Linked DNA regions of Lonchura striata. The protein of the gene in region 1 purifies or fractionates together with the protein of each later gene. This does not show direct contact. Links are inferred from orthologs where the notes say so. Each region holds a gene or a part of one and is shown on either strand. Other genes may lie near its edges. The genes, in order: RPL13A and RPL7L1.

The links.
Region 2: the proteins of RPL13A (region 1) and RPL7L1 purify together in Homo sapiens (affinity purification with mass spectrometry; 3 studies listed by BioGRID and IntAct, with this or other methods). This does not show direct contact. The link is inferred for Lonchura striata from reciprocal best matches to the Homo sapiens genes RPL13A and RPL7L1.

The regions. Positions count from the first base shown.
Region 1 is NC_134640.1:2,920,251-2,929,308, forward strand, and holds RPL13A (large ribosomal subunit protein uL13), read right to left. Parts: upstream 4,333-9,058; 5' UTR 4,284-4,332; coding exon 4,269-4,283; intron 4,058-4,268; coding exon 3,985-4,057; intron 3,917-3,984; exon of another isoform or gene 3,838-3,916; intron 3,767-3,837; coding exon 3,701-3,766; intron 3,280-3,700; coding exon 3,178-3,279; intron 2,949-3,177; coding exon 2,863-2,948; intron 2,613-2,862; exon of another isoform or gene 2,542-2,612; intron 2,452-2,541; coding exon 2,392-2,451; intron 1,853-2,391; coding exon 1,730-1,852; intron 1,132-1,729; coding exon 1,045-1,131; 3' UTR 998-1,044; downstream 1-997. Other genes in the region: DHDH (trans-1,2-dihydrobenzene-1,2-diol dehydrogenase), read left to right, coding at 29-179, 541-809; SLC17A7 (vesicular glutamate transporter 1), read right to left, coding at 4,858-5,127, 5,673-5,800, 6,058-6,168, 6,688-6,820, 6,996-7,142, 7,518-7,657, 7,924-8,010, 8,089-8,176 and 2 more. UniProt on the Homo sapiens protein: Associated with ribosomes but is not required for canonical ribosome function and has extra-ribosomal functions.
Region 2 is NC_134606.1:70,021,344-70,030,707, forward strand, and holds RPL7L1 (ribosomal protein uL30-like), read right to left. Parts: upstream 4,404-9,364; 5' UTR 4,363-4,403; coding exon 4,346-4,362; intron 4,198-4,345; coding exon 4,089-4,197; intron 2,796-4,088; coding exon 2,632-2,795; intron 2,469-2,631; coding exon 2,331-2,468; intron 2,091-2,330; coding exon 1,981-2,090; intron 1,812-1,980; coding exon 1,603-1,811; 3' UTR 1,599-1,602; intron 1,348-1,598; 3' UTR 729-1,347; downstream 1-728.

The DNA.
Region 1 (9,058 bases):
GGGGTGCCCTGACCCCGTGCCCCCGCAGCTGCCCAGCCACATGAACTGCCCCACCGAGCTGCTCTGGGGGGGTCACCGCGAGCGCTTCCCGCTGCCCGCCCTGGCCGAGCCCCCCAACTTCCCGCACGGCGCCGGGCTGCGCTACGAGGCACAGCACGTGCGGGACTGCCTGCTCCGGGGTGAGCTTTTGGGGCGAAACGCGGGGATTTGGGTGAAAAAATGGGTCTGGGGGGAAACCATGGGGTTTGGGGGGAAACCACGGGGTTTGGGGTGAAGTAATGGGTCTGGGGGGGGGAAAGCAATGGGTTTCGGAGGGAAAACACTGGGGTTTTGGACAAAATAACAGGTTTGGGGGGAAATAACGAGATTTTGGGCAAAATAAAATGGTCTGGGGGGGAACAACAGGTTTTGGGGCAAAACCACACTGTTTTGGGCAAAACAATGGGTCTGGGGGGGAACAACAGGTTTTGGGGGAAAGCCCCGGGGTTTTGGGGTGAAACCCCCAATTTTGGGGTGAATGCCGGGTTTGGGGTGACCCAGGACTGACTGAGAGCCCCGAGATGCCGCTGGCCGAGAGCGAGGTCATCGCACAGCTGCTGGACGAGGCGCGGGCCCAGGTGGGGGTGCGGCTGTCCGGAGTGACCACTGACCACCCGGAGCGGCCACTGACCCTCCTGAGTGACCAGCCACCCTCCGGAGTGACCACTGACCACCCGGAGCAGCCACTGACCCTCCTGAGTGACCAGCCACCCTCTGGAGTGACCACTGACCACCCGGAGCGGCCACTGACTCTCCCGAGTGACCACTGACCACCCGGAGCGGCCACTGACTCTCCCGAGTGACCACTGACTGCCCGGAGTGACCAGCCACCCTCCCAAGTGACCCCTAACCCTCCTGAGTGACCCCGGAGTGACCGCAGCAGCTCCGGCGCTGCGTGCCCATGGTTTAATAAAATCGCCAAAATCTCTGAAACCACCCCAAAACAGTGGCCGGCCACTGCCAGTGTATCCCAGTTTGGGTTTATTACAGCCCCTTTTGGGTTGGTTACAGCAGGATCCCGTGCTGCCGCAGCACCGCCGTGAACGGCGCCGCTTTCTTCTCCGCGCTGCGCTCGGCCCGGCGCCGCAGGCTCTGGGGCCAAAAACGGGAGAATCAGGAAAAAGGGGAAAAAGATGGAAAAAACCATGAGAATTGGGTAAAAAACGTGGAAAAAAACAAGCAAAAAATGTGAGAATCAGGGGAAAAGAAAAAAAACCAGAAAAAAACGGGAGAATCGGGGAAAAGGGAAAAAACAGGAAAGAGTGGGGAAAAAAAAAAGGGAAAATCAGGGAAAAGGGAAAAAAGCCAGGAAAAAACACGTAAAAATCAGAGAAAAAGGAAAAAAAAAAAACAGGAGAAAAATGAGGTAATAATGGGAAAAGGACAAAACAAGGAAAAAAAAGGGAGACTCGATTTGACCCCAATTCCCCCCACCCTGAATTCCAATGGAATTCAGGTCTTGCCCCTGGTTTGAGGCTTTTACCTCCTTTTAGGACTCTTTTACCTGGCTTTAGGATTTTTACCTGGTTTTAGGGCTTTTCCGCTGTTTTTCTGGACTTTCCCACCCCTGCCAGCATTTTGAAATCCCAATCCCAAATCCTGGGGGGTTCTCCCTGCCTGGCTCTGGACCCTCCCCCCGATTTGGGTGTCCTCCCGAGGGATTTTGGGGCGTTTTCCCCGTTTTCCTCACCATCATCTTCCTCTTCTTGTTGTAGCGGAGCTTGGCCTTCTCCTTCCGCTTCTCCTCCAGGGCCTCGGTCACGTCCCGGTACTTCCAGCCCACCTCGTGTGCCAGCCGGCCCAGAACGGCAAACTGGGAGGCACGGGGGGCTCAGAACCCCAAAACCCCCCCAAATCCCATAAAACCACCCCCAATCCTATAAAACCCCACCAAAACCCCATAAAACCAGCCCAAATCCCATAAAACCCCACCAAAACCCCATAAAACCACCCAAATCCCATAAAACCTGGCCCAATCCCATAAAACCACCCAGAACTGCCCAAAATACCACAAAACTCACCCAAATCTCCCTAATTCTCCACCGAAATCCCATAAAACCCTTAAAATCCCATAAACCCCCTAAAAAAGTCCCAGAAAACCCCCTAAAATCCCTTAAACTTCTTAAAAACCCTCATGAAACCCCCCAAAAATCCCACTACCCCCATTAAAATCCCATACAACCCCTAAAAAACCATATAAAGCTCCCTAAAATCCCATAGACTCCTAAAAAAATCCATTAAAAAACCCTCATAAAACTGCCTAAAACGCTGTAAAATCCACACAACAATCCCATAAAACTCCCAAAATCCCAAAAACTCCTAAAAACCCCCCAAACCCCCTCCCGCACCCACCTTGCGCGTGGGTTTGAGGCGGATGATTTTGAGGGCAGCCGGCACCACCATCCGCTTCCTCTGGAAAACCCAGGAATTTCGGGATTTTTGGGGGTTTTTTTAAGGTTTTTGGGGTTTTATTGGGCAGGTCCCAGGGGTGGGCGGGGCTCCAGGTGTCTCAGATTTGTTTTTTTCTCAGCAGAAATCGAACAATGTAGGTAAAAATGACATCACTGACACCACGGCTCATTTTGGGGGGATTTTAGGGAGATTTGGGGGGGAAATTTGGGGAGTTCTGGAGGGGGAATTTGAAGGACATTTGGGGGATTTTAGAGAGGGAATTTTGGGGAAGATTTCAGGGTTTTGGCAGTGGAAATTTGGAGGGCTCCAGAGAGGGAATTTGGGAATGACTTGGGGATTTCTGGAGTGGCAATTCGGGGGGTTTTGGAGGGAGAATTTTGGGTAAGATTTGGGGGTTTGGGGTTTTCCCACCTTGTCGTAGGGCGGGGGGATACCATCGAACACCTTGAGCCGCTCCAGGGCCGCCTGGCCCCGCTTGGTTTTGTGGGGCAGCATCCCTGAATTTGGGGTGAAAACACAGATTTAGCATCCTTGGATTTGGGGTGAAAGCACTGGGATTAGGGCAATTCCCAGGGCTGATTTTGGGATAATCAGAGAAAAAGGAAAAAAAGAGGAAAAAACCAAAAAAAAAAAAAAAGAGAGTCAGAGAAAAAGAAAAAAAACGGGAAAAAAAAAGGAGAATCAGGGAAAAAGGAAATAAAATCAGAAAAAAAGCGGAGTTTTCACCTCGGACCGTGCGCCAGAAGATCCGACTGGGAGCTCGGAAGTGGAAAGGGCCCCGCGAGGGGTTGGTGTTCATCCTCTTCCTCAGGAATGCCAGGAACTTCACTGCGGGGAAAACGGGGCAAAATCCCTCAGGAACGGCAGAAAACGGGACAAAATCCCTCCGAAATGGCACTTTGGGAACTGGGGAGTGCCAGGATGGGGAAACAGGGGGAAATCCCCCCAAAAACTTCACTGGGGTGGGCAAACAGAGTGAATTCCCTAAATGGGATTTGGGGAATGCGAAAATCCCCCAAAATGGGGGCTGGGGGTGCACCGAGAACCTTCTGGAAACTTCTGCGTGACTCAGGAACGGCGGGACCGACCCTAAAACCCGGGATTGTCCCCAAAACCCGGGATTGTCCCCAAAACCCGGGACTGTCCCCAAAACCTGGCACTGCCCTCAAAATCCGGGATCTCCTTCCATTCCCGGGATTTCTCCCGAACCCGGGATTTCTCCCGAACCCGGGACCCCCGGGCCACTCACGCTTGTTGCGGTAGAAGTTCCCAGAGATGTTGATGCCCTCGCAGCGAACCACGACCACGCGGCGGCCTGCGGAGAGCGCGGCGGGCCCGGTCAGCCCAGCCCGGTGCCCCCGGTACCCCCAGTATCCCCCGGTGCCCCCGCGCTCAGCTGGTAGTGCATGGAGGCAGCTCTCATTGTCGTTAAACTCGACAGCCGACAGCGCTCATCACGGCGCGGGGGGCCCGGTGCCCCGGGATTGTCCCGGGATTCCCCCGGTGTGCCCCGGGAAAGGCTCCCGCACTCACCCAGCAGCACCTGCTTGGCCACGATCGCCGCCAGCCGGCCCAGGAGGTGCCCGCGCCCGTCGATCACCAGAACCTGCGGCGCGGGCGGCACCGGGTGAGGCCCCGCCGCCACCGGGGCCGGGCCGCACCGCGGGGCCGCCACGTGGCCGCGCCCCGCGCTCCCCCCGCCGCCCGCCCGCCGCTCCCCGCAGCCCCCCGCAGCGCCCGGCCCCATCCCAGAGCCCCGCGGAGCCCGGCCGGGCGCCCCTCCCGCCCCGTGCCGCCCCCGTGCCGCCGCGCCGCACCCGCGGCTCCGCCATGGCCGCCGCCCGCTCGCAAAGAGGCCCCGCCCCCCACGCGGGGTCGCCGCTTCCGTCGGGGACAGCGGCGGGCGGAAGTGACGCCACGACGCGAAGAGGGCGCGAAGCCGCGCCGGGATGCGCCACTGAGGGCGGAAGTGGGGCGGGAACGCCCCCGGTGCCCCCAGTCCCTCCCGGTGCTCCCAGTACGCGCAGGACCCGCTCCCCGGCCTCCCAGTGCTGCCCCAGTTCCCCGCCCAGTACCTGCAGTCCCTCCCAGTGCCCCCAGTAACCATCCGAATCCCTCCCAGTGTCCCCAGTACAGCACTCCAGGCTCTCCAGCGGTCGCTCCTTGTATTTATATATGTACAGCGGAGGGGCCCCGGCTCTCGGGGCTCTCGCACCGGGGGTCCCCGGTCGCTCCTGGGGTTCTCGGGGCTCTCAGGGACTCGGACCGGGGTTCCCCGGTGGCTCCCGGGGGTCTCAGGGCTCTCGGGGGGCTCGGACCGGGGGTCCCCGTTGGATCCCGGGGCTCTCGGGGATGGAAGGGGGGTGGGGTCGCCTCTTCGGAGCGCATCCCTGCGGGCGCCCCGCGTCACTCGTGCGGGGTCCCGGGAGCCGGGGTGGTGCCGGTGGCGCCGTAGCTGGCGGGGGGCCCTCCCGGGGGTCCCGGGGGTCCCACTCCTCCTTCCTCCTCCTCCTCCTCCTCGTCGTCCTCGCCGGCCGGCGCCAGCGGCTCCGCCTCCTCGCGCGGCGGCTCCGCCCACGGCTGCGGCTCCCCCGAGGCGAAGGCGCCGTAGAAGGCCACGCCCCCGTAGTGCACGAGCGCAGCGATCAGGAACACCCACTGCCACTCCTCGCGCGTCTGCGCCAATCAGCGCCCGACGCGTCACAGCAGGGCGGGGACACGAATGGGGAGGGGGCGTGGCCAGTGCGGAGCGCGGGAAAGAGGCGCGGCCAAGGGAAGGGCGGGGCCAAGGCGAGTGGGCGGGGCCGAGCACACAGTGAGTGACAGGCGGCCGGAGCGACCCCCAAAATTCCGAGGTCCCCTCCGGTCCCGTGGTGTCCCCCCAGGTGCCATTGTCCCCTGTGTGCCTCGGACCATGTCCCTCTGTCCTCCATGTCCATCTGTCTCCCCCCTGTCCCATTGTCCCCCCACGTCCCTCCATCCCCCGGTGTCCCTCTGTCCCCCCATGTCCCTCCGTCCCCCCCATGTCCCTCTGTGTCCCTCTGTCCCCATGTCCCATTTTCCCCCATGTCCCTCTGTCCCCCATGTCCCTCCATCCCTCCGTGTCCCTCTGTCCTCCATGTCCCTCTGTCCCCCATGTCCCTCTGTCCCCCCGTGTCCCTCTCTCCCTCTATGTCCCTCTGTCCCTCCTGCCCTCGTGTTGTCCCCTGCTGTCCCCGCACCTTGTGGCGCGTCAGTGCCCCCACGATGAGGGGACACACCATGCCCGACAGGGTCCCCACACCGTTGGACAGCCCCATCAGCACGCTGGCGTAGCGCGGCGCGATGTCCAGGTGGTTCACGTTGAACCCTGACATGGGGAGGGGACACAGGGGTATCACCTGTGTGTCACCGGTGTTTCCCCCACCCCGAGAAACCCCCAGGAAAAAACCACAGAACACCCCAAAAAACCCACAAAACACCCCAAAAAAACCCCCACAAAAACCCCCAAAACCCACAGAAAACCCACATAAAAACAACCCCAATACCCCACACAAAACACTCCAAAAAAACCCCACAAAACACCCCAAAATCTCACACAAAACCCCCCAGTCCCGCTGTCCCCACCGGAGATGGCGAAGCCGCTGAAGCCCACGGCCAGCACCAGGAAGGAGATGGCCACAGCCCGCGAGTGCGAGTAGCCCACCACCAGCAGCAGCGTGGCCTCCATGCCGAACCCTGCAAGGGGAACGCCGTCACCTGCTGTCCCCTCTACCACCGGCTGTCACCCGCTGTCCCCTCTGTGTCCCCTCAGTGCCCATGTCCCTTCTGTCTCCTCTGTCCCCTCCGTGTCTCCATGTCCCCCCAGCGCTGTCCCCACTGTCCCCTCCATGTCCCCCCGTTCCCTCTGTGTCTCCTCCATGTCCCCATGTCCCCAGTGTCCCCTCCGTGTCTCTGCTGCCCTGTGTTTGTGTCCCTGTTCCCTCTGTGTCCCCACTGTCCCCTCCATGTCCCCAGTGTCCCCTGCATGTCCGTGTTCCTTCCATGTCCCCCCTGTGTCCCTGCTGTCCTGTGTCCCCTCCATGTCCCCGCTGTCCCCTCGGTGTCCCCTCTGTCTGTGTCCCTGCTGTCCCCACCATGTCCCCGCTTTCCTGTGTCCCCCCCATGTCCCCCCCATGTCCCCGCTGTCCCCCCGTGTCCATGTCCCCGCTGTCCCGTGTCCCCGCTGTCCCCCCGTGTCCCCTGTCCCGTGCTGACCGCCGCAGTTCATCATCTTGCGGACGTTGGTGGTGGACATTAGCCCCCGCGAGCGCAGCAGGTCGGCGATCTGGCCACCGATGGGCACCACGATGGTCATCACCAGGTGCGGCAGCGCCGACAGCAGCCCCACCTGCGGGGCCGGGGGTTCGGGGCGGTTTGGGGCAGTTTTGGGGCTTTTTGGGTTTTTTTGTGTGGCTTTCTGTGGGTTTTGGGGTGTTTTGTGCAGTGTTTTCTGTGGGGTTTTTGAGATTTTTTTTTTTTTGGTGGGGTTTTTAGGAGTGTTTTGTGGGGATTTTGGGCCCAACCTTGCTGATCTCGAAGCCGAAGACCTCCTCGAAGTAGGCGGGCTGGCTGATGAGCAGCAGGTAGAAGGTCCAGCTGCGGCAGAAGTTGGCCACGATGATGGCGTAGACGGGCATCGAGGTGAAGAAGTGGCGCCAGGGTGTGGCCAGCTGCGGGTGGGGAGTGGCCACTGACCACACTGACCCCACTGACCCACTGACCGGCGGCGGTGACCCCCATGCCACCCCCGGCCCCGCTCCAGCCCCACTTCCCATGGGATGGAGCAGCTGGACCGTGCTGGAGGCCACGGTGGCCCCAAGGGTGGTGGCCACAGAGGCCTTCCAGTGGTCCCAGAGATCCCCCAGTGACCCCACTGCTTCCAGTGACCCTCCAGTGCTCCCAGTGACTGCCATGCCCATCCCAGTGACTCCCAGTGTCTGTCCCAGTACTCCCAGTGTCTGTCCCAGTACTCCCAGTGCTCATCCGAACACTCCCAGTGCCATTCCCAGCCCTCCCAGTGCCATTCCCAGTGCTCCCAGTCTGACCAGCAGCGGGTTGCTGCCCGCACTCTCGCCGATGCTCTCCTCGATGTACTTGCGCTCCTCGGCCGAGATCGTCGGGTGCTGCGCGGGGCTCTCGTAGGACACCAGCACCCAGAACAGGTACCAGAACACCCCGAAACTGCCTGGAGGGCTGGGGTTACTGGGAGGGGCACTGGGAACACTGGGGGCACTGGGAGGGGCACTGGGAGAGGTCACTGGGGGCAATGGGAGGGGTCCTGGGGGCATCCTGGGGGTCCCTGTGGGGCTTGGGGGTGTCTCGGTGGTTGCGAGGGGGTCCCAGTGGTCCTGTGAGGGTCCCGGGGGTTTCAGGGGTCCCAGGGGTGTCCCGGGGGTCCCATAAGGGTCCTGCTGGTCCCAAGGGGTCCTGGAGGGTCCCAGGGGCTCTCACCGTAGACGTAGAACACGGAGCTCCAGCCTGTGTACTGCACCAGGACCCCGGCCAGCGGCATGGCCACCACCGCCCCGGCGTACGAGCCTGCCGGGGCACGGCGGTCACCAGGGACGCCCTGGGGGCCCCCGCAGCCCCCCTGAGCCCCCCGGTAGCCCCCGGTACCGCAGAAAGCTGTGGTGGCCAGGCGGCTCCGCTCCAGGGGCGGCGCCCACTTGCTCCAGATGCCGTGACAGGCGGGGTAGGTCACGCCCTGCCGAAAGGGGCAGGGTCAACACGGGCAACGCCCACCTGGGCCACGCCCACCTGCCACACCCTGATGGGCGTGGTCCAGGGACACCAAGGGACACACCCAACCCTGGCCACGCCCACCTGGGCCACGCCCACCTACCACACCCTGATGGGCGTGGTCCAGGGACACCAAGGGACACACCCAACCCTGGCCACGCCCCCGCCATTGGGAGCGTGGAAATGGCCACGCCCCAACCTCACCAGTGGAACACCAAAATCCGCCCAGAAACACCCCAAAAACACCCCAAAAACACCTTAAAAACACCCCAAACTACCCCAAAACAAACACCGCTAAAACACCCCAAAACCACTCTAAAACAAACACTGCTAAACACCCCAAAAACACCTTAAAAATATTCCAAAACCACCCCAAAACCACCCCAAAACAAACACCACTAAAACACCCCAAACCAGCCCAAAACCACCCTAAAACCACACGAAAATCAACACAAAATTTCCCAAAACACCCCAGAGACACCCAAAATCCCCCAAAACCGCTCCTGCTCTTTTGTACGTACATGAAAACAGCCCCAAACCACCCCAAATACCCAAAACTGCCCGAAATGCCCACAAAACCCGGCGCTGACCTCCACCAGCCCCTGCATGACGCGCACGGCGATGACGCAGCCGACGTGGGTGCGCGCGGCTGACGGGATCAGCATGTTCAGCACCGAGGTGGACACGATGGCCAGCCCGAACACCCTGGCCAGGGGACACGCAGGTGACCGCCACGCCCCGGGCTCACCTGCGGGCCGGCCACGCCCCCCAGGCCAGCGCTCACCTGTTGGCCGCGAACTTCTGGGCGATGAATCCGCCAGGGATCTGCGTGACGATGTAGCCCCAG
Region 2 (9,364 bases), on another chromosome or scaffold:
GCAACTAAAATAATCTCATTCCTAGTGTGCCAGTTTTCATGTTAGAAGCCTGGGCTGTTTTATTACCAGAAATAACCCTAAAACAAATCAACCAAACAATTCTTGTACCACTCTACAATGGTAGCAGCTGTTTTATCAGGAAAACTTTAAACACATGAAGCCTTCTATTTTAATGACCACTGGGCTCTGGTTCTGGGGACACAGTTGTTCTGTGTACGTCTGTAGTGTCTGTCCAGCGTTTTCTATGTTTCTATTCTTGGTTACAGAATAAAGCTTCGGGTTTTATGTTCTCTAATTGAGAGTCTACAGTTCTTGGTACTTCAGATGGTTCCATGAATGCTACATTCTAGTTTATAACTGTCACACAAGCAACACCCAAGACATCCTCCTTGTTACTTAACTGTTTCCTTCCTGAGTCTCCATGTGGTGTGGACTCTGTATGAAATCCATTAATGGATTAACACTTTGCTCCCACCTAAGTTTTCAAGCAACAGTTTAAACAGTCACAGTGAACTAATGACACTGCCTTCCATATTTGTTAAACAGCACTGGACTCTTTCATGTGTTCTTACCATTTCTGTAGTGGAAGAAATTAGGGATTTAAATCTCTGGAACTTTCAGACTTACATGGTTTTGTTCACTTCCTTCACTAAATTCATTCCAGCCAGAGTGTTTAACTGGTTTTTCCACTCTTTTACAGTGATGCAGAACTTTCTGTTATAATAATATAATTTCAGAATTTTATTTAAAAAACACAGATTACATATACCCTATCCCAGGACTGTATTTCTTGCATTTTCTTATTTCCAGGAAATACTTCTCCCCAGCAGTCCCAATACAGCAAAAGAAAAAAAAAAAAAAAAAAGGCAAAAAAAAAAAAAAGCTCTTTAAATCAGGACCACAAACCCTTAATTTTTAAAAAATAAATACAATCCAGGTACTTAACAAGTGACATTATTCACGGCTAGGGCTTGTGCTGCAGTAACAGAGCATGGTGTTTTCTTTTTTTTCTTTTGCCTATCAGCACAATTGTGACTGCACTACCCCTTTCACCCCCAGAAGCACATCAAAGAGTGAAGTCTGTAGTAGTGTGCATAAAAAACACTTATTTTACAGAGATGCAAATGTGAAATTGCTCCAAGAAGCTCATTCTTGTACCAAAGAGAATTTATCTTCTTTAAGAAGGGCCAGCCCAAAGTCCATCTCCATCATCATCTTTGTGTTTCTTCTTTTATAGAGGCACCAGCAATCAAGAGAAGTTGCATACAGATCACTGCATGTAGATAATGTCCACAAAAGGTACATGTGAAAAGGAACAGGTCATAGATCCCAGTTTTCACAAAATCCCTGCAGAATAGGGAAGAAAATATAAAATAAAGTCATATTATCTCCCAGGAGCCAAGCCTTCATGGAGGTGTCCAACTGCATGTGCTGATCCTAAAGGGATCACTCTTGATTAGTTTCTCCTACTCTGAGGTCAGTTTTGCAGAGTGACAAAACCAAGTGAGCACCCCATTCATCTTCAATGGCAGTCTGGTTGTCCTTAGGACAGGGAATGAAGGGTAAGCTTCAGAACTAACCCAGCAGGCACTGCTCACCTGACTAGTTGAGCTGACGGATGAGCTGGTTGATTGCATCACCTCTGTAGCCAGGCTTGCCCATCTCCTTGAGGAAACCCACTCTGTTCCGTGATGCGTGGCGAGCCACTGACAGGTGGAACGGCCACAGAAAGCTGGTTACTCTTTTGAAATACTTCCCAGTTGAGTAGATTTCATGAATAAGGTCTTCCAGGCAAATGATATTACAGCCCCCTGTATGAGGGAAAAAAAAAGATGTCCAGCTGTATAATCTTTCCTCACACTGCTCCAGAACTGCCAGTCCTCCAGTTTGACAAGATTTTGTCTGTCCCCACCCTTTCAGGCCAGACTGTAAACTCTCAACACCTAACCCTTTCCTCAATTTTCTCACCCTCTTCCTCACCTAAATGTTCCTCTATCAGCATGTTGTCTGTCAGAGGCACCTTCTTTTTCTTGATCTTGGCTTGGCCCCGTTTCAGGATGAGCTCTCGTACAGATTTCAGGTTAGGCTGTCTGTGCAGAAACAAAAATCAGATCCTGTAACAGAGAGACATGATGCAGAGGGACACCCATACCACTTCCTTGTGCAGAGGTGGGAAAGTACACAAGTTATGTCAAGAACAATCAGAACAAAGAAAATAGCAAGTTTTTAATACAAAGTTGATTAAGTTTTGACCATGATTGGAGAAGTAATGGATCTGTGATAGCAACTGGAGAATCCAATGACCCCCAAGTCACAGGAGGGGCACGTACCCCCACGCCACATAAGGCTCCACGATGCGCAGCATCTTCAGCGACAGTGGGCTCAGCTTCACAAATACCCCGGTATAATTCTTCCTCAGCCGCAGCAACTCAATCACTCTTTTCACCCTCTTAGTCACTCCCTTAATACTGAGGAAAACAGAATTTATTAGTAACCACATTTTTCTAATACAGCAACTAAAGGCCTCAGATCACCTGCAAGGAGACATGTCTAGGTTGATCCCACTGCCTTGGTATGGAAACGACACAACAACGGGTAGCAACAATGGAAGGAGTAGGGGAAGGCTCTTACTCCACAATCCTCACGACGAAGGCCAGCTTGCTCTCCTGAGGTGCCACTGCCTGCCCAGGCCTCTGCTCCATGCGCCTCAGCCGGGTGTCATCCCGGCGTTTGCGCCATGAATCCCGAACAAAGGTCTCCAGGCGCCTGAACTGGATCTGTTTCCCCTTCTGCTGCTGCAGACAAAAGGAAAACAAAGTGAGGTTTGCATCTGAAAGGCCAAATGAAATGCAAAGTAGTGAACAATGTCCTTACAGCTTTGGAAGCAGTAAAAAAATAAATTTGATTATCTAAGCCCAAGGGAGACAGAACTGAGGGACAACATGAATTTATACACAACTATTATTTATGAACAGTGAACAAAGAGTTTTTCCCTAGGAAAAGTATAAGTTAAGGAAAAGACCTGGGATACTTCTAGGCATAGCTACAGACAGAGCTCAGCAATGGCTGGGAAAGCCAGAAACGGCATGTGGGCAACAGATATTTAAATGTCTCTCTTTACCTTAGGAATGAGTACATCCACCAACACTCATAGTGTTTTCTCATACAAACAGGACTTGAAAATGCACAGCATTACACAATGATATTTAAGATACTCTACTGGTTAAATTACCTGGCCACTTTAAAGAATCTAATGTTGTGTGTCTTCTGTTCTATTTCACCTTGTAAATAACCCATTAAATTCGTTTGAATTTTCAAAGCATGGAGACCTAATAAAAGTCTCATCACTAAGATCCTTTTTAATGAGAATCTTAAGGAGTGGCTATGTAATATTACTGCTTATGCTCCCACCTTGGAAATACAGCAAACCACTGATGCTTTTAAAAATGTAAACATGGTATCAAACAAAAATGGCAGGAGTTTTGCACATCCCACAAGATTCACTGGAAATCTTTAAGACAGACACCTATTGTATTAGCTGTGACACAGCACAACAAGTCTCAGATTTGGAATTAGAAAGGTTTGCTGTACTCTGCTAGTCTGGAAATGGCACGATGTGCACAGGGTGTAGGACATGTGTCACCCCACTCGCAGAAAAAGGCTTCATCATGACCAGTGCTGCTCTAACAGAAAACTCTAAAGCCGCCCTCAGAAAAGGACGGCTTCCATGCAGGGTTTCAACACAAAGGTGGTTTCAGGCAGTGAAATCCCAGGGCAGCAGAGATAGCGCTGCAGTTTCCCACATGTGACTGCAAATACCTGACCACCACTGATCCAACAGGAACAACTCACAGTCTTCTATATATTTCTGTTTCGGTGTAATAACCGGTACAATTCTGTCCGCTTTACAAGGCTCAAAGGAGAAGATGTTGAGGGACTCAAGTCCCCCTCGGAACCCCGGAATCCCGCGGCGCTCTGAGGGGCCCGACCACTCGGGTCATTTCCCAGGAATTTCAAGGAATTGCGGTTCCCTTCTCCGGAGGGGGAGCTGGAGCTGCAGGCCCAGGCTCTGCCGGGACCCGCCGTACCTTGCGTTTGTTGAGCAGCGCCTGCTTGGCCTGGGTGGCCTTGATGGCCAGGTACGCCTTCCTCTTCTTCAGCAAGTTCTCCGGCACCAGCGGGATCCGCCGCTTCGGCCTGCGGGCGGGACAACCCGGTCACATCCCGGCCCCATCCCGCATTCCCGCATCCCGCCCCTTCCCGGGCCGGCTCCGTGGCCGCCCCCAGCCCGCGGATGGCGGCGGATCCCGCATGCCCTCCACTCTTCCCCCTACGCCGCACTCACTCCTCCAGCTCCGCCATGTTGCCGCGCTGCTGCCGCGCATGCGCGGGGGCGGGGCCATGGCCGCTGCCCCTCGGGAGCCGCTCGCCGGCCCGGGATCGCGGAGTGCCGGGAGCGGGATGGAGCGGGATGGAGCGGGATGGAGCGGGATGGAGCGGGATGGAGCGGGATGGAGCGGGATGGAGCGGGATGGAGCGGGATGGAGCGGGATGGCGGCGCTGCCGGCCCTGCGCTCGCCCGGCAGCCACAGGCGGCGGGCCCGGGAGACGCGCGGTGTGACCGGCGCGTCACCCGCAGGTGGTGCCAGAGCCGCGCTCTCGGCTGGGTGCTGGTGGAGATGTGTTCCTGGTGTGCCGTGCGGGATGCGGGACCTTACAGCCCGAAATCCTTCTCATTTCCACTGACCGTAGTGTCCTCTCACCGGTGAGGAGCTCCAGCCTTGCCGGGAGGTTCGGTCGTGCCAGGGTTTCGCTGCTCACCTTGGTGATGCTGCAAACCTTTACAACACTCTAAATGAGCCCGCTTCTGTTTTGACACCTAAAACATGAAAATCCGTATTTAGCAACTCGATCCCAAATGCCAGGAAGAACAAGCCGTCGGTGATCAAACCCAGCTCTCATATGCATTCTTTTTTTTTTTTTTTTTTTTTTTTTTTTTTTTTTTTTTTTTGCATATGACACACAAAGCAACAAGCTTAGGAAATAAATAATCTGAAACTTTTCCCATAACTACACAATTTTCACCCTGACTTACAAAAATAGCTGGAATCCCTCGTAGTTCACAACAGAGAAAGTGGCCCATTTAAATCTACAAATGAGTGTGCTTTGTTGAACAGGAGGGAAATGCAAACAGGCTCTTGGGTATTCCACCATTAATGGCCAGGAAGCAATAAGTAAGTAAATATTTGAAGTGCTGTTGCTGTTGAAAAGTCTCCCAGCACAGCAGCATTCCGAGGCTGATTTGCTGAACTTCAACCAGCAGTTATATTGTTTTAATGAATGGATATTCAAATGTCCCTGTTTGCAGGGATACCCAAGAAAAGTGTTCCCACTTTCCTAGACAGCAACCTGCTGTACACTGGCCTTCAGCACTCTGAATTCCCACACACAAAATTTTAGGGCTCCAATTCCAAAAGCCAAGTCAGGAGATGAGATGGGATGTCAGAGGTCCATGGAACTTCTTGACTTATTTTCTCATTCCATGGGTATAAAACTCCATTAAATTAATTCCAAATCCCACAAAACCTTTATTGATGCTGTATGCAGTCTCGAAACAGCAAGAGGGCTTTAGGTCTATCACTTTCATCATTGAACTATGCCCTAGTCTGAAATCTGTTTGTAATAAATTCTTTATAAAAAGAGCCAAAGAAATTAAATTTTGTTTATTTTACCAATGATCTAATCCTGAGAATATTTTAATAAGGAAAGTACCTTGAGATTTTAAATTATGCCTATTTTCAGATCTTTTAAGGGAAAAGTTTATACAATTAGGACAGATGTCTGGAAATTACTCCATGCACACACTCTAACCAATAATTAATAGAGAGAAAAGTTGGGTGATCCAAGACTTTCTTTCATGGAAACAGCAATCATATAGAGATGGACTAAAATTTCATTAAAATATTTTTAGAAACACTGTAGATAGATGCATGGGTTTATTATTTTCAAAATAAGCTTCCTTAAGATGGGCCTTTTTGTCAGTAATCCTGCAAATTCACTACAAAAGGAGCAATGTGGGTATGAGACTAACATAGATGGGTCCCCTCAGTTAGCGGCACCTAATACGTCAAATTGAAAAGGCTAAAACATAAAACTTGTCTTTGTGTCTCCCTAGAAAAAAAATTGAATGGGGCAAAACAATTCATTCTTTAGTGCCACTAATTTATCAGCAACAATGGAAAATATTCCAGTTTCAAAAGCTCATTTTTACAGTAACTGTTGTGAATAATTCCCTAGAAGAAAATCAGACTACTAATAAAGCCCTGGCACAATTTTCAATTATTGTCCCTGGAAATGTTATCTGAAGTTTTAAGTTACAAATATTAAATTACAGATTTATATCTGTCAGAATGTTCTGACATATTCTGAAAGAGTGGTGTTACCTATTTACAAGTTTCCAAAGTGAAACAATTGTAAGAATTAAAATGTAAATTGATTTTGTTTTACTTCTAATGCACTTGTAAAGGCCTGGCTAATGACCCCAAAATAGAAAAATTGTTTTTCGATTGCAATAAACAGCAATGAAAATAATTTATTTCTCTGCTTTGTCTATAAGAGAGTGTACATGGTGGCTGCAATTTGAGTGTACAACAAATTTAATTGTATCTTTAAAGAACAGTGGAGATAAAAATAGACATTATTATATGTAGTCTCCACAGGTCTCCATGACCTCTCTCCTTCTTCCACAGGGACAAAAAGCTGCATTGTATTTGGGAGAAAGATCAATTATGTCTGAGATGAAAGACAGTGAGAACAGAATAGGAGTCTTTCCCACACTCAGTAATTGGGAATCCTACCTCCTACTTTTTAATTGAACCTTCAAGATAATTATGCCATTTAGGTTGTGGAAGCATATTAATAAGTACACCACAGCATAAACTATTCATAAAAATACTACAGACTGGGGAGCCATAAAAAGAGATGGAATGGAATAGCCTAATTAGGAAGTTTATCATGTCAGTGTAGACAACTCAATAGGAGATGCTTTGCATAGACAGATAATGCTCTCTGTTCTAAACCTCAGTGGTTCTCCTACAAAGGTGTTGGGTAGTGGACGATAACTTTTAATCTATTTTTCTTTAAAAATAAGCATTTAATTATTTTTATTTTATGGCTCTGGTTACTGACACAACTATGTAATATTCTTTTGCAAGTTCAGTTTGGGAGACTAGGGAAGAAACAGGCAGCAGTTGTTTCAACAGAAACAGGAATCAGAAAAGGATTAAGACATCATAAGTGAGAAGTGACCTGCAGTAATTAATATAAAATCACAGCAGTTTCACAGGCTGAGCCCTGAAGGAAGGTGTGGCCCTGAGTGCTGACAGTGCAATAGGGCTATAAAGGTCCTCTCACTTTTTTTCCTGTTAATTTATGCAGGGAAAGTTCTGATTGGAATATTTGAGTTTGTCTGCAATTATTGGTGACAACTGCCCAGATAAAGCTACAGAGCGTCAGTATTTGGCCAGAAAACACCAGGCAGAAAAACACAGAGAGAAGGAGTAGGAGGGATGTAAGTGGTCACCTGTAGCTTTTTCCCAAGAAAGAGGCTGTGTCCCTACACACAGCAGAAACAAAGGAAGGGAGGAGGTAGTTGCAGGGTTCTCCTCATGGCACAGCAGATGTTATAAGTCTGAGTGCTAAGCAGTGAAACAGCAGATAAAAATCAGTAAATAAAAGTGCAGCAATGTTTCACAAATTTTTCTATGAAATGATGGGTTCAAGGTAAGATAATAAGATTGGGAGTAGGATTTTGGAACTATTAGAGATAGATAAAAATATCAGCTTAATGCTTAGGACAACTGAACAGTAATTGAAAATTATTAGAGAAGGGGTAAGGAACAAAGCAAAAACTGATTCCACAGCATAGCCTCTCACACCCGCATTTTGAATGCTCCAGCTTTGGTCGGTCATCTTTCTTCCATCTGTCCATCTCATACCTCCACCCACCTTCCCCCAAGACAGACTTGGAAAAGATTCAGAGAAAGAAGATCAAACACAGGGAATAGTTTCCATCTGTGGAGCAGTTATATAGACTGGACCTGCCAGCTGGGAGAAAGGTGCTTGAGGGAAGATAAAACAGTCAGTAAAATGATAAATTCTGGGATTCCTCTTTCAGCACAAAAAGGGAACCTCCGATGAAGGCAGCAGGAGGCAGGTTCACAGGTAATAATTTGGGTTTTTCAGCACATGAACTTGGATTGAAGACCCAGACCTCTTAGCCACCAGAGGAGTTACACATTCCAGCCGTGTGTTCCTGCCCACCTCCCCTGCCCCCAGTGGATGTGGCCTTTCTGCTAGCTCAGCTCTAAATTTTCCATTCAAATGAAATAGATCCCATTTTATATTTGCCCTTGCTATTATAGCCCAGCATTAGAAAAGGCAGACAGAAATCAGTTTCTTTGCCTGCATACAGAAGGGCTCATTTAATCTGAATGCATGCCCTTCCCTGCTCAGCTGCACCGTGTCCCATTTTCCTGCCTTTGAAGTCCACCCTTTCCAGTCTTTAAAGAGCTTTGGATAAATGAATCCTGTTCCTGCAGTGATCTATTATCAGCACTGTCTAAAAGCGAGAAGGATGAGGCAAATTTGCCAAAAAGCTGAGGAGAGGTGGAAAAAGTGAGAAAGGAATCAATATCTGTGTAGCTCCAGGTAGCACTGCCCGGACCACAGCAAGCAAAGCCCAGCTGCTTGGTTCCAGCAGCTTGGAGCATCATTGTCCAGCTGTAACAGTGATCCATCAGCTGGCAGACTGAGACTGCAGGGGCACTCCATCACCTGGAAAAAAGGGGGATGAGATGAGGGGAATGCCTCAACACGAATAAACCACAGGAATCCAAAGAAACTGTGCTGCTCCTCTGTGCTGTGCTCAGCAAGACTTGGTTCTTCCCTGAGAGTTTTCCATAACCCCTGGTGGAATCAAGGCATTTCTATATCAGATGCTGTGTTCTCACTTCTGAGATAGTTTCTGACCCAAGAGACATCCTTAGGAAGAGCTCCTGAAGAAAAAACAGGTCCTGTTTCTAAACCAGTCAGCAGGATAACAAGCCTGTCTTGCTAGTTCAAATTTTCTATTCACATATTAATTATACTGTAAATTATTTTTGATGTATTGTATAGAAAAAGTAGAAGAGTCATCATCTTTTTTTCCTACTTTTTAACAGTAAGAGTAAGCTTCTTTCTGTCAGTACACAAACCCAATAGTGAAAGAAATCACTCGGATGCAGGTATGCTTCAAACAAATGTTAATTATCAAAATAATCAAATAATTGTCAAACTCTTAATTCTCAAAACAGCATCTCCCACC